Caenorhabditis elegans: one gene and its partner. The protein of the gene in region 2 interacts with the protein of the main gene of each other region in a pairwise test. Each region holds a gene or a part of one and is shown on either strand. Other genes may lie near its edges.

Region 1 (6,527 bases), on a different chromosome or scaffold from region 2:
TCTTTTGTGACATTTCAGCATATTAGAATATTAATATTCCGATTATTTTTTATTATCATTAAAAATAAAAATAAAACCTACCGCTCGTCCTCAGCACTTCTTTTTCCAGAAATTCCAGTCATTGGCTGTGAGCATCGTGAAATTGAAGCTAAAGTTGTCTGATTAATCCAACTCAACACGGGAATTCTTTCTTTGCTTCTAAACTCGCCGAGCTTCTTTACAAATGGTTTTCCTTCCTCCCAAGATACTGTCGGAATTACAAACTGAAATAAAATTATTTTTAAAAAAGAAAACCATCATTAACCTACAGTTCTTGGATAAGTTTCGCTAAATTTATAGTCTTTATTAATGTCCACTTCTTTCCAAAGACGTGAATTCGGGATTCCAAGGCGTTCATATTCTTTTTCAGCTGAATAAATTTTCCAACCATCTTTCATAAGTCTAGGTGTTTCTGCTGCATGTACAGAGGCGAACATTGGCTGAAAATTTCCTTTTTTGGTTGAATAATGTTGTTTTTCAAGTTAGGCTGTCTATTTCTTGGTTGTCAAGTAAGTTTTTAATAAATCATTGATTGTTTAAAATCTACACAATAAACTTTTTGCGTGCCGAGACCCATTTGAAGAAATCCGTGCGGCTTTCTAAGGCGAAAACTTGTGAAATTACGATACCGTGTTTTTTTAACTTTAATTTTTTTGCTAACCAATAAATGAATAATTAATTTTATTTTTTCGTAAATTAAAAAAAAATATCAGAATTTTTTTTCATTTCCAATAGTTCTAGAGCCAAAAGCCCCCTATTAAAATTAAAAAAAAAACTCACCAAATTATGCGATAGCGGAAAAGCGTATCTATTCAACGAATCGCAAACATTTTTTCTATCACTCGATGCTGGATTACATGTAAATCGATAAACTCGATAATCTTTACAATAAATTGTGAATCCATAATTATCATCGCCTCGTTTGGCAACACTCGTCGTCTTTCTACCAACTTTTTCTATCCGAGACACTTGTCCGAGTGGAATATCGAGCTTCCATTGCTGAAATTTTTTGTTTATATTTGTAAAATATAATTTTAAAATTTTAATCACAAACCTCATACATTTTTCCACCATCACCAACGAGAAAAACCATTCGATACCTAGTAATTACGATTTTACCTGGAAATTTTCCAAGTGGTCCGAAGTATGTCACATTTTTCTCTGTAATTCCTCACATTATAATTGTTAAAAAATCAATTCCAACCTGTCCAAATAAGACTTTCTGCGGCTAACAATTTGAGATCTATTGATTCTTGTATCATTGATGAACTGGCAACTGAAATGATAAAATAAATTGAATTCAAATAACGAAATTTCATAACGAAATAGTTCGTGATGACTCACATTCTCCAACTTCTCCACTATTGTTCCCTCTGTCATCCATTGATATTGACATTTCGATCAATTTTCCTGTAAATTGATTTTTGAAAGTGTATGAGAATGTTTGAAAGCCGAATAGTGGAACGATTATTGGGAAAGAGAGAGAGAGAGAGAGAAGAAGGCCACTAAGAGACGCAGGTATGTGCAGAAAATAAATACAACTTGCTTCAGCTTTGTTTTTATCGTAACTTCACAATATTTTGGCAATCCTTTTTAAAACCGCATGGATTTATTCAGATGTCGTTTTCTTTTCACTTTTCTGTCAGAATATGTTTAAAATCAGTTTTCAAAGTACAAATAAACTACTTCCATTAAAAATGTGGGATTTCCTGTGTTTTTTTCATACAATGGTTTTAAACAACGACAAAATTCCCTTAATAAATTGAAAAATGCAAGAAAAATAAACGAGGAAGCAGCCGCAAAAATTCAAACACAATTACCATAAACTTTTTTGCGCGTCGGGACCCATCTGAATAAATCTCTGCGCCTTTAAGGATTAATTTTTATATGAATTGATTTTTCTTTTAAAATAACAACAACTCAGTTACGCGTTCTTGTTTGGTTTTCTTTTAAATTTTTAATGTGGCTCCTGACCGTTTAATACATTAAAAATAGATTATTGTAGAAAATGACACAGCGAGAAATATTGCAATCAGTCCATAAAATTGAAATCGATGTAATCTTTATAACTCTCACATAAACGACAACGTATTTAAATTCAAAGGCAATTGTTCAAAAACAGGGAAAATGCAATCTCAAAAAAAACGCCCGACATAAAAATGGGAACTTGTATGAAAAAATAAATGTACATTTGGCATAGATAATTGGCTAGATAAAGAATAAATACTTCCTATTGTGGCTTCTCTCTGTAAGTATTGACTGCTTCGATGTCGAATTTGAAAAGTTCAATCTCACAGGAATAGGCTTTTGGTGTGAGCTTGATGACTGTATGCAATGGAACCTTCAGATATGGAAGATCATCTCGATTTTTGTTAGTAAAATAGGCAAGAATGCAACGGAGAACTGCTTGATGAGAAATGACAAGGACATTGGATTGTCTCTCAAGCTCCATGATAACTGGCTCCAGACGAGCAACCAGATCTTCATATGATTCCCCACTTGGATAACGGTAGTGATATTTATCCTTATCTCTTTCAGCGAATTGTTTCGGATAACGAGCCTCGAAATCTTCATAAGTTAATCCTTCACATATTCCGGCATCGATTTCATCAAGACATTTCCAGAACTCTGTATGACCAGCGAGATCTTTCAGATGAGAAGCTGTCTGGGCGGCACGAATCTTTTGAGATGACCAAACACGGAAATCGTCCAAATCTTCTTTTTCGAAGTATTCGCGAAGTTTTCCAGCGTAATTTAAACCATTTTCACTGAGTGGGGAATCACCACCAAGACGACCAATTCTGTTGTACTCACTTTCTCCATGCTGTAATAAATTTTTTAAAGGGATTTTTAAACTATAAAAGTTTAAAAATACTTGATAATTCTCAGTGCTGTTAATTGAATGAATTATATCCCAGAAACGGAATTTTGTGCCAAAAAAACCGGTGTCCGGTCTTGACACGACATTTTTGTTAAATGAAAAAAGGCATCACCTTTAAAGAATACTGTAATTTCAAACTCTCGTTGCTGCGGAATTTTCATTGATTTTCTTTTTTTTTCACGATTTGTTAAAATTCAAGTTTTTTTACGGGCTCTCTTAGCTTGTTTGGTAAAAAAATATTAATTTATCAAAAAGTGAAATAAAAAATAAAAACGTTTTTACAGCAAATCGTGAGAAAACTGAAACTCAATGAAAACTCGGCAGCAAAAAAAATGAAACTACAGTAGTTTGTAAAGACGCACACTTTTTGGCATTTAATAAAAATTTTCGCGTCGAGACCTGTTACCTATTTTTAGCGCAAAATTTTTTCGGTTTTTTTGTTAAACTTACTCTTGACAAATAAATACTTCTTGGAAGAAGATGAATATTCATCAGGAAATACACAACACGACTCTGCACATGACCATTAACATTGTGAACATAGAAGGATTTTCCGGCATTGATAACTTTGATATAGCTCAGCTCTTCATCATGATCCTCATCAAGTGGCTCATATTGCATTCGATAGTTCTCGATACGCTTCAAAAAGTCTTCTTTTGCTTCCTCTTGAGACATTATTCCTTTATAATCTGGCGAATTGATTTTCACTTCCTGAAAATATGCGGGTTAAGGTGATTATTTTGAAGATCTAAAGGTTACCGTGATATTCGAGTTGATAATATCAGGATCATCACAAACAGATTCCACAAAGAAGACACGGAATGGTGGCTCGTGCATCATATTTCTGCAAAACTCCATCAGAAGCTTTCGTCGGTCTCTTGTAGTATTTGTCGCGTCGAGAATCTGAATAAAAAGTTTATGTCTATATATTTTTTTGAAATTTTTTCCTTTGTAACTCACCGCCACTTCTCCTTCCTTGTTATCCAAGTACCTTCCCATATCTTCAATGGCTAATTTCGCGCACTCACTGAAAATTCAGGAATTTTTTTAATTTTTTTTCTTCATAGTTTCGTAAAATCTCACTCTCGGATCTTTTGACCTCTGGCGTTGTTTGGCGAGAAGAACTCATTTTCGCCTTCTTCTTCCAAATTACACGCTCTTCTTCTGTACTCGCCGACATTGAATGCTGTAATTTTGATTTTTTGTTTCATGTCGTACATATAATCGAATCAGGACCAACCTTTGGTCTTAATTCCAATCCAGTTGAGGTAACGACACAGTTTGTGTGAGATGTATGTTTTGCCACGTGCCGGCAGTCCGACAAGTGCGATGACGTTTGGAACTCGAACCTGCTCGTTTGAGTTGTCTGAAAATTGAGATTTTTGAGAAGACAATGTGGAATGAAAATAAAATAGGGCTAATCGATCAATTTTATGCACTTTTTCAACTCAAAATGCGTCCAAAACGGCTCAAAATTTCGAAAAAAAATGGGCTATTTGATTTTAGCTAAAATCTTCAATTTTGCCAAATTTTCCATGTCGAAACGGACGGAAATCAATTTTAATTGAAATTATGTGAAATAAACTATCTTTTTAAATTTCGCTCATTTGGGCACATTTCGAGTCTAAAAGAGCAAAAAAAAATGGTAAGTCCTCTTTTAAAGTAAACTGACCACTCTTCGGCACGAAATACGTCATTTTGCGCTGCGGTACGCCGGCTGGCCCAGGCATCTCGTTCTCCTGCAACATTTCTAGCCGAAATGATATCGTCTCTTATCAAAATGATTCCGAAGACAAAGGCTTATCATTTTAATCAAATATTAAGAAATCAATAATAATATTATTGCGCCGGAGAGAAAGAAAAACAGGCAATGATAGAGAGAAAGAAAGAAAGAAGGTTCGTGTTATGAATGGGAAGAAAGTAGACACAATCTTCCATAACAATAAAGTAGGAAACCGAAAACGAAAAGAAAAATAACCAACAATTCATTTTCTGTGTTCAACCATCCCTTTCTTTCTCTCTTCTCCTCCCTTGTTTCTTCTTACACTCGAGTTCGCGGGTGTCTTATCTTCTTTGGCGCCTCCTCTCTCTCTCCAATAAAAAGAAAGTCCTGAGAAAATATACGTGACACACGGAAGCGAGAATATTCTCTCAAACCGACTTTTCAACAGTTGAAACGACGAGAAAAAGAATCGCAATTCAATCAACATTTTTAAATTTATTTAAACATTTTCATTATTTATTAATGGTTCATCATCCGGTGGGTCTACACATCCATTAACACCGTAATCTGAGACGTGGTGTCCAAAGTAGAACAGGTGATCGTTGATGTCAAAGTAGCGATGAGTGTTGCTGTAAGAGAAGATTTTCTTATCACGTGATTTCGATCACTGTCACTTGCCTGCACAAATTGTCCTCGTTCAATGGAGTCCCGGTGCAAACTTTGAACGTATCTTGACTTGTCATGTTTCCAGGAAACCAGACTTCGACTCCATGGTGATAGGATCCATGATTGTAGAATGGTATACACCATCTGGCATAGCTTTCCACGCAGAACGGAATATGTGCAACCTAGAAAAAAAACTTTTAATAGTCTTTTGAAAGAGGATATTTTGAACCGCCAGAAAAAAATTTCGAACTTGTTTGAGAAGTTTCATTACGAAATTCGCTCATTTGGGTGCATTTTGAGCCTAATAAAGCATTAAAAAAATCTTAAATATTAGTCTCCCTCACAATATCTCTTCCATGAATCAGTCTCCAGCTTCCTCCAGCAACTAATTTGTCATGTGTCATGGCATATTCGAGATTTCCAACTCTAGGCTGTCCGAATGTGATTGAAAAGGTTCGACTCGACGTTTCGGGAAAGTTTCTAACGAAAACAGTCGATGCAATACTTGCAATAGCTCCGCCCAATGAGTGTCCTGTGAACACAATTTTATGATCTGGAAGTGAGTCTTTCAGTCCTCGCAGTAGTTTTTCCATTGGTGACCACATTGTTTTTAGAGCAGAGTAGAAGTAATAATGAACTGATCCAGCATTGTGCAACTGTAAAATAAGTTTTCTTTGCTCTGTGAGTACTCAGACAAACACTTGAAACATGAGCCTACTTTGTGCTTTGGCCGACCAATGCTTTCGATAAGTTCAGTTACCAGCTGCTCTTTCGATTTTGTTCCACTGAAACTGACGAATATTGTGTCGTTGTCGGCAGCAATCACACTCCAGCACTGGAAAAAATTAAATCAGATGATTTTTGAATATTTAAAGATCTCATGATCTTTTACCTCGTCACGCATATAATCGCACTCCACCTTTTTGAAAAACAATAAAGTCGCATTGTTTTTCGAGATGCAAGGTTCCGGATCGATGGAATACGCAGCCGCTGCGAATTCCAGAGTTCTCTTGCTCAATTCATAGTCAAAATCTCGATTTACTTTCTTGCAATCAGCTAGAAAGAAGAAAAGACATGAAAAAAGAGCGAACCCGTTTCGCATATGGGTCGAAATTCCGATCGAAAATCACTGAGACCTGGAGAGGAAAATTGGGAGGATTGAGAGTTGTTTACGAGGTGAAAAGTTGTTAGATTGGATAAGTGTAAAGATATATTTAA
Region 2 (6,086 bases):
AATATCATCATATTTTCAGTAAGTGTTCCTGTTTTGTCTGAAAGAACATGTGTGACTGTTCCAAGTTCTTCGGGAATACTCAAAGAACGACAATCAATCGCTCTATCCTGAAATTAACAAAAACATTAATTATTTTCAATTTTCAAGTTCAAGTTGGCTTGCCGATTTCTGATCATATAACTGAATATCATTGCTGATAAAGTAGATTTGAAGTGCTTTGATAATTTCTACAGTAATATACAGTGAAATTGGCACAAGAAGTTGATAGTTGATAAAGAATGCACCTATGCCAATGAACCCCTCTATGAACGGTCTCGGTGTGTTTGAGAGAATGAATGGAATCTGTAACAAGTATATGTCTACGTCTCTTTGTCTTACATGTTCTCTGGCAAGAATGGAAACTGCGCTCTGTTGTACAAAGTATTTCATTTCTTTTTCTAATATTTGAACTAACTATTTCTATAAAATGGTTCGCAAGACGAATAAAGAACACAAGGATGTTTCGGTTCAAATTACAAGATTTAAGAACGAAAAAAGTCGTTGTGATCGTTCGGATTTTTTGAAATCTCAAAAAAAGAAACCTTCAATGCCGTTGGATCACTTGAAGGATAAGGAAATGTTGAAGAATCGACGTCTACAGAAGCGAAATGTAAAACGAGAGAATCAAAGAAGGAAAGATGTAAGCTTAATGTTTTTTTGATACAATGCCAAAAATATATCCCATCTACAGTGAATTTCTCTTTTCTAGGTGTCACTTGCTGCTGCCCACCACATCGAAAAATGCATAGATTCTCTACAGAATATGAATGTTGAACCATCCAAATAAGACTTCTAACTCTTGTGTTATGTTTTCGGGTATTTTTAAATAAATTTTGCTTTAACTTCAAAAATAAACCTGTTCATCAACTGGATGTTGTCCAACCCAAACTGCTGAAGTGATAGCGCCATACAATACCATAAGGAGAAGCATTATGAAACAAGCAATTATAAATCTAAAGATATCACAGTTTTATGTTAAAGTTCAACGTGCTCACTTGTTTGTCAGTTTTTCAATTCCAGATGTTTTGTGTGGAGCTCGTCCATTGTTCTGCATCACTTTTGTATCGTGACCTGCATAAACCACAATTCCCTCAACAAACGTTGTGTTTTTGATACGGGAACCCCGAAGAAGCATGTTTTCTTTGATAATGACGTCAGATTGGCCTGAATATTCAGAATTAAAATAATAACAGTCAGAGTTATTATTGGTTTTTTTTTGTCAAAACTGCATTTGGTTGTGGCTAAACGTTTCCGAATAGTTGACATTTATTTAGTAACTAATATATAAAATATGAAACTGAAAAACTTCCCCTGTAGCTAGGCATCACCAAATTATTTTTCCAACTCAAATCGCTCTCACCTGGTTCAAATTCCACTTTCGCTCTAATTGTGTAAATACTTTTATCTGGCTTCTCACATGTCACAACTCCTGTGAAATCTGGTGGCTTGAAGGTAGAGTCTTTCTAAAAATAAACAGCGTATAAATTGAAAATCTAAAAAATTCGCAAACCTTTGAATAATCAATCACTTTTGCAGGAACCATTCTTTGTTTCAATGATGTTTCACCATCTAAGTTACATGTTTCAATATAACATGTTCCACTTTCACTTGATGAACGTAATAAAATGATATCAGCTGGCACATCTTGATTATTTGAAATATGTACAAAATCGCCAACTAATATATATCTCCATTCAGTTTTTCGAAATGCACATCTATCTCGATCCCACACATGACATGTTTTCTTATTAATCTGATTATCAAACTTATATCTTCGATAATCTTCAATTCCGTCTTTGATCAAAGTTGTTCCCAATACAAAACAAATTGGTATTAATCCAACATATCTTGTGTAAGCATCAAAAAATGGTACCCAATTGAGTATTGCAATAAATATAAAATATAGATTTGCGTATTTTGTGGACACTTGATGCCAAATATTGAGTGGAATGAAGTTCCAAAATGTGTATTTAGTTGTTGAAATTCGATTGTCAGTGAAGTCTCGGTAGTTGTTTAGTTCGTAACGAGGTGATTCGAATAGATGATTGGGACGAATCACTCGAGATCTAAAAAACGACAGTTCTTGGATTTTTTTGAAATGTATATTGACTCATTATTTTTTAAATTAGAATTTATCAGCTTGAACGAAATCAGAGCAAGACTTGGTTAAGACTCCCAAATTTTACTTTTTCAAGAAGTTGAATTTTTGTCAATATTTTACCAAAAGACGGAGCAGGTAATTGGAAAGAATTGAATTAAGTTTAGACTAATCTTGAAAGTCTGAAATATACTTCTTCCATTTTTTTAAAGCTTTCAATTTCCGAACCAGCTTCCATTTTTGGTGAAAGCTTGACAACAAGTTAGGCAGCTCCTTGATTTTGAGCGTTTCAAATTTTGTTTTTTTAGCTCAAAAAAAATAAGAAATTAATTCCTATAGCTTACCCAGTTTCTCTGTTACTTCGTCCTCGAAAAATAGAAATAGGATTATGAAGTGGTGCAGATGGAGGAACCCATTTTGAGGATGATCTTCTGTGAAGATGTGTTGGTCGAGGTGTCGTCATATTCTCATTCCTTAATGACTAAATATTTCTTTAGAAATGAAAAAGAACACAAAATGACACTGAAAAAGAGGTGAGTGCGAACTGAGTCACACTTTGCCGCCCTCCCACTATACTACTGATACGGAGACACAAATCGATAACAATGTGGAAAGCACTGCAAAGTTGAAATTAGTTATAGACATGACACGTTACAAAAGTATGTTCTATGGAGAAAAGAGCTGCGCGTATGAACTTTTCAGATGGAACTTTCGTATTTGGGTATTAACAAGTGTGAAATAAAGTGAATCATGAACAAATATTTGTGTTAGTGATGCCAATTCAAAGCAGTATACTTTGGAGATTCACATAGAAAATGGCATGCATATGTATTCTTGAACATTCATTGTTTTGATATTTTTATTTATGAATGGTATCATGACGTATAACAAAAGTACATGTTTTCTATGGAAACAATAATAATTGAAAAGTCTATGTCATGGATATCTATCTTTTGAAAACTGATTCCAAAATAATTCAAGGGATGACCAAAAAAGCGGATTGGTCTCGCCGCGCGGTGTAAAAAGTAATTTTGCTTATGCGCCTTTAAATTCACTGTAGGAAATTTCGATGTTTTTAGATCAATTTTTTCTAATTTGTGCGAGAATATTCGTTATAAATTAGAAGAACACGAAAACGATATAAAAACTTTTTAAAAAAATTAATTTGCCTGATTTTGTACATTTGTCCCATGTGACGGATTGCCCCATGTACTTTTACAGTTCTCTCTTCAATTCCATTTGAACACCCGCCAATTGAAACAATACATCTTTGCGTGATGGTGTTTGCAAAGAGTACAACAAACTTTACGCGCATGTATTGCTTTGTTTTTAAGAGCTTATTTTTTTATTTTTTTTTTGTATGATTTCTGAACTGCTAGCCGTTTCAATTTTCCCTTATGATATTTTTATCGATTGTAAGCGTTAAATTTCCTTCTTTTAAAATTAATCATTAAAATTATTCAAGCGACGGCCATTTTTCAAACACATTATTCGAGTATACTCGAAATAGCTCAACATCTTTTAATAAAAGGCGATTAGATTAGTTTTCCACATATTTAAGTTCTTCGTAACGTTATTATTTTTGTTCGGATAGTACGTCATAGAAATTTCTCTGTTTTTATAGGAAAATTCAAAAACAGTCAAAATTTCGAGCATTAAAACTACATATAACGTTCGCATGAATCGAATAATAAACTTAAACATTCCGCGTAAATTTGTGTTCGCTGGAGCGTGCTTGTTGCTTAGAATTTCTATTGGATTTTGCAAACGGACGTTTTTTCAGTTAAAATAACATTAAAATTAATTCTGCGGGCTGAAATATTTAAATTAATACCCTTCGAAATTTAATCTATATATTTTCAGTACCAATTATACACTTTCCAATTTAATAATACATTTTTCAAACCATTTCAATTCGTTCTCTTTCTTTCTCAGCCTACGTAGATTTATGCATCGTCACATAAAATATCGATTTTCAGGACAATGACCGGAGTTGATGACATATCGTCAAATGTGCATAAGCTGGTGGGAGTCACCGCAGGAATGGTAACGTTTTTTTATTATTCGTTTTCTAAACTAAAATGTTGTATTCAGAATACTGCAGCGTCCACAGGACCAATGAATTTGGTTCTCGATAAGTGTTCCGTTGTGCTCGAAGAATTGAGAACAATTCAAATTCTAACAGAGACACATTCAGAAGGACTCAGCGAACAGCTGAAAATGACAGAAAAGAATATCCTCGAAATGGAAAATTTGTTCGATCAAATTGACCAGCTTTGCTTGTTTGTTCAAAAGGTAAGGTTTAGTAGTTGTTACAATAATAGTTAATTGCAATTTTCAGGCAAAATCCGATCTCGACAAGCTGGAAAAACTTTACAATGTTGTTGACAGACAATAATTAACTCATCCAATTCACTGTGCCATGATTTTATTACGGGTTTTCAATTTCCCAGTCTTACATGTATTATAATGAACTTATTTCAAAAAGTTGAGAATTTATTTATCTATTTGCTGTTTTTAACAGTTTCGAATATATATATATAATTTTATTATTTATTTTAATAAGATTTTAACTTCATAATTAAGAACTCAGTGATGACACAACAATCTGACAAAGATGCCTCTGTGAGCGAGACGACGACTCCACCAACAACTCCTGTTACTGTCAAAAAGCCGGCGCTTTGTGGGTTCGTTGACTATAATTTTTGTTTAAATTTTATTTGAAATTTTCAGAAGTTGTGATTGTGATGTGGAGAAGTCCACCCTTGAGGAAGAAGCAATGGCAGCTGTTCGTGAAAATGCATTTGCAGTCAACTTGATTGGTGTAAGCGAAATGCTTCCACGTACTTCACAACTTCTCTTCATTAATGTAACTACATTCGAGAATCACACTCATTGTATCGAGCTCACTCGTAAGTTCACTCAGATGAGCAATAAATAATTATAAACCGAATATATTCAGAAAAGGGATGGCGAGTTGCATCAAATCGCAATGACTGCATGAATGGTGATTTCCGACAACTCGATATTCATACAAAGTATTTCGAGTCACTCCATACGCTTCTTATGGATATTTCGCCACTTTTCCGGTACCATACATTTTTATTGCAAATTTCTAAAATAATTTTTACAGTGAGACATTCGGATCGAAATTGATCTCCAAGTTGAGTGAACTGAAGAAGGAAAGAAGCGATTCCGATGAATAATTTCTCACTTCAAATCTTCATGTTCTACCATTATTACAATTCGCATTATTTTCCTAGTTACATTGCTCAAATTTGCGTTCAAACACATCTAAGTTTTTTTCTAGAATATTAAGCGGTCTTGTTACGTGGCAACTCGCGTAATCTTGCCAACCACCGTTTTGTCTCATTACACACTTTTATTCCATCCCCGTATACTTTGTTCCGTTGTGAAGTTTTCTGTGTATAAAGTATGTCAAAATTTTCTTTTTTTTTTCAATTAAGCGTATTCAGACGTTTACTCGTTTTTCTTACCTGAAACAAATGCAAATTAGGTATTAATCAAGCCAAATTTCAGTGAACATGCGGTTACATGGGACAGTCTTGCTGGTTATACTCCTCGGTTGCCTTTTCGCAACTTCAGGTAACAAAAAAACGGTATTGGAAATATCATAATTATTATTTTTAAGATGGACAGTTGGCCGCCATGACAATTGACCTCGGGACTCAATTCCTTAAAATTGGAATTGTAAAACCTGGAATTCCAATGGACATTGCTCTGAATACGGAATCGAGAAGGAAGACACCGAATGTTGTTATGATTCAGGATGGCCACCGAACTTTCGCTGATGCAGCTATCGGAATGCAAGTCCGGTATCCTCATCTTGTTCATGGACAACTCAACGATTTAGTCGGCAAATCCACACAACATCCTTCATTTGAGCTATTCAAAAGACGAAATACCTTCTTCGAGGTTGATGATGCTC

The links. The genes of interacting proteins can lie anywhere in the genome.
Region 1: the proteins of lelo-1 (region 2) and pfkb-1.1 interact in a two-hybrid assay, tested with the Caenorhabditis elegans proteins (one large-scale study listed by BioGRID).

Annotation. Positions count from the first base shown.
Region 1 is NC_003279.8:5,129,663-5,136,189, reverse strand, and holds pfkb-1.1 (6-phosphofructo-2-kinase domain-containing protein), read right to left. Parts: upstream 4,671-6,527; 5' UTR 4,669-4,670; coding exon of another isoform or gene 4,651-4,668; coding exon 4,593-4,650; intron 4,287-4,592; coding exon 4,161-4,286; intron 4,107-4,160; coding exon 4,004-4,106; intron 3,948-4,003; coding exon 3,881-3,947; intron 3,824-3,880; coding exon 3,680-3,823; intron 3,632-3,679; coding exon 3,371-3,631; intron 2,864-3,370; coding exon 2,270-2,863; 3' UTR 2,085-2,269; downstream 1-2,084. Other genes in the region: Phosphatidylinositol-3,5-bisphosphate 3-phosphatase mtm-1, read right to left, coding at 82-263, 309-479, 820-1,038, 1,094-1,200, 1,244-1,315, 1,384-1,423; Y110A7A.7 (Fungal lipase-type domain-containing protein), read right to left, coding at 5,143-5,272, 5,322-5,491, 5,654-5,965, 6,028-6,144, 6,202-6,411.
Region 2 is NC_003280.10:6,241,634-6,247,719, forward strand, and holds lelo-1 (GSKIP domain-containing protein), read left to right. Parts: upstream 1-4,723; 5' UTR 4,724-4,732; coding exon 4,733-4,824; intron 4,825-4,870; coding exon 4,871-5,049; intron 5,050-5,099; coding exon 5,100-5,226; intron 5,227-5,270; coding exon 5,271-5,343; 3' UTR 5,344-5,586; downstream 5,587-6,086. Other genes in the region: tat-4 (Phospholipid-transporting ATPase), read right to left, coding at 1-107, 163-342, 896-992, 1,035-1,203, 1,400-1,502, 1,550-2,105, 2,482-2,600; T24H7.8 (Small vasohibin-binding protein), read left to right, coding at 467-679, 749-826; blos-4 (Biogenesis of lysosome-related organelles complex 1 subunit 4), read left to right, coding at 4,121-4,183, 4,232-4,432, 4,479-4,535; T24H7.2 (Hypoxia up-regulated protein 1), read left to right, coding at 5,683-5,743, 5,790-6,086.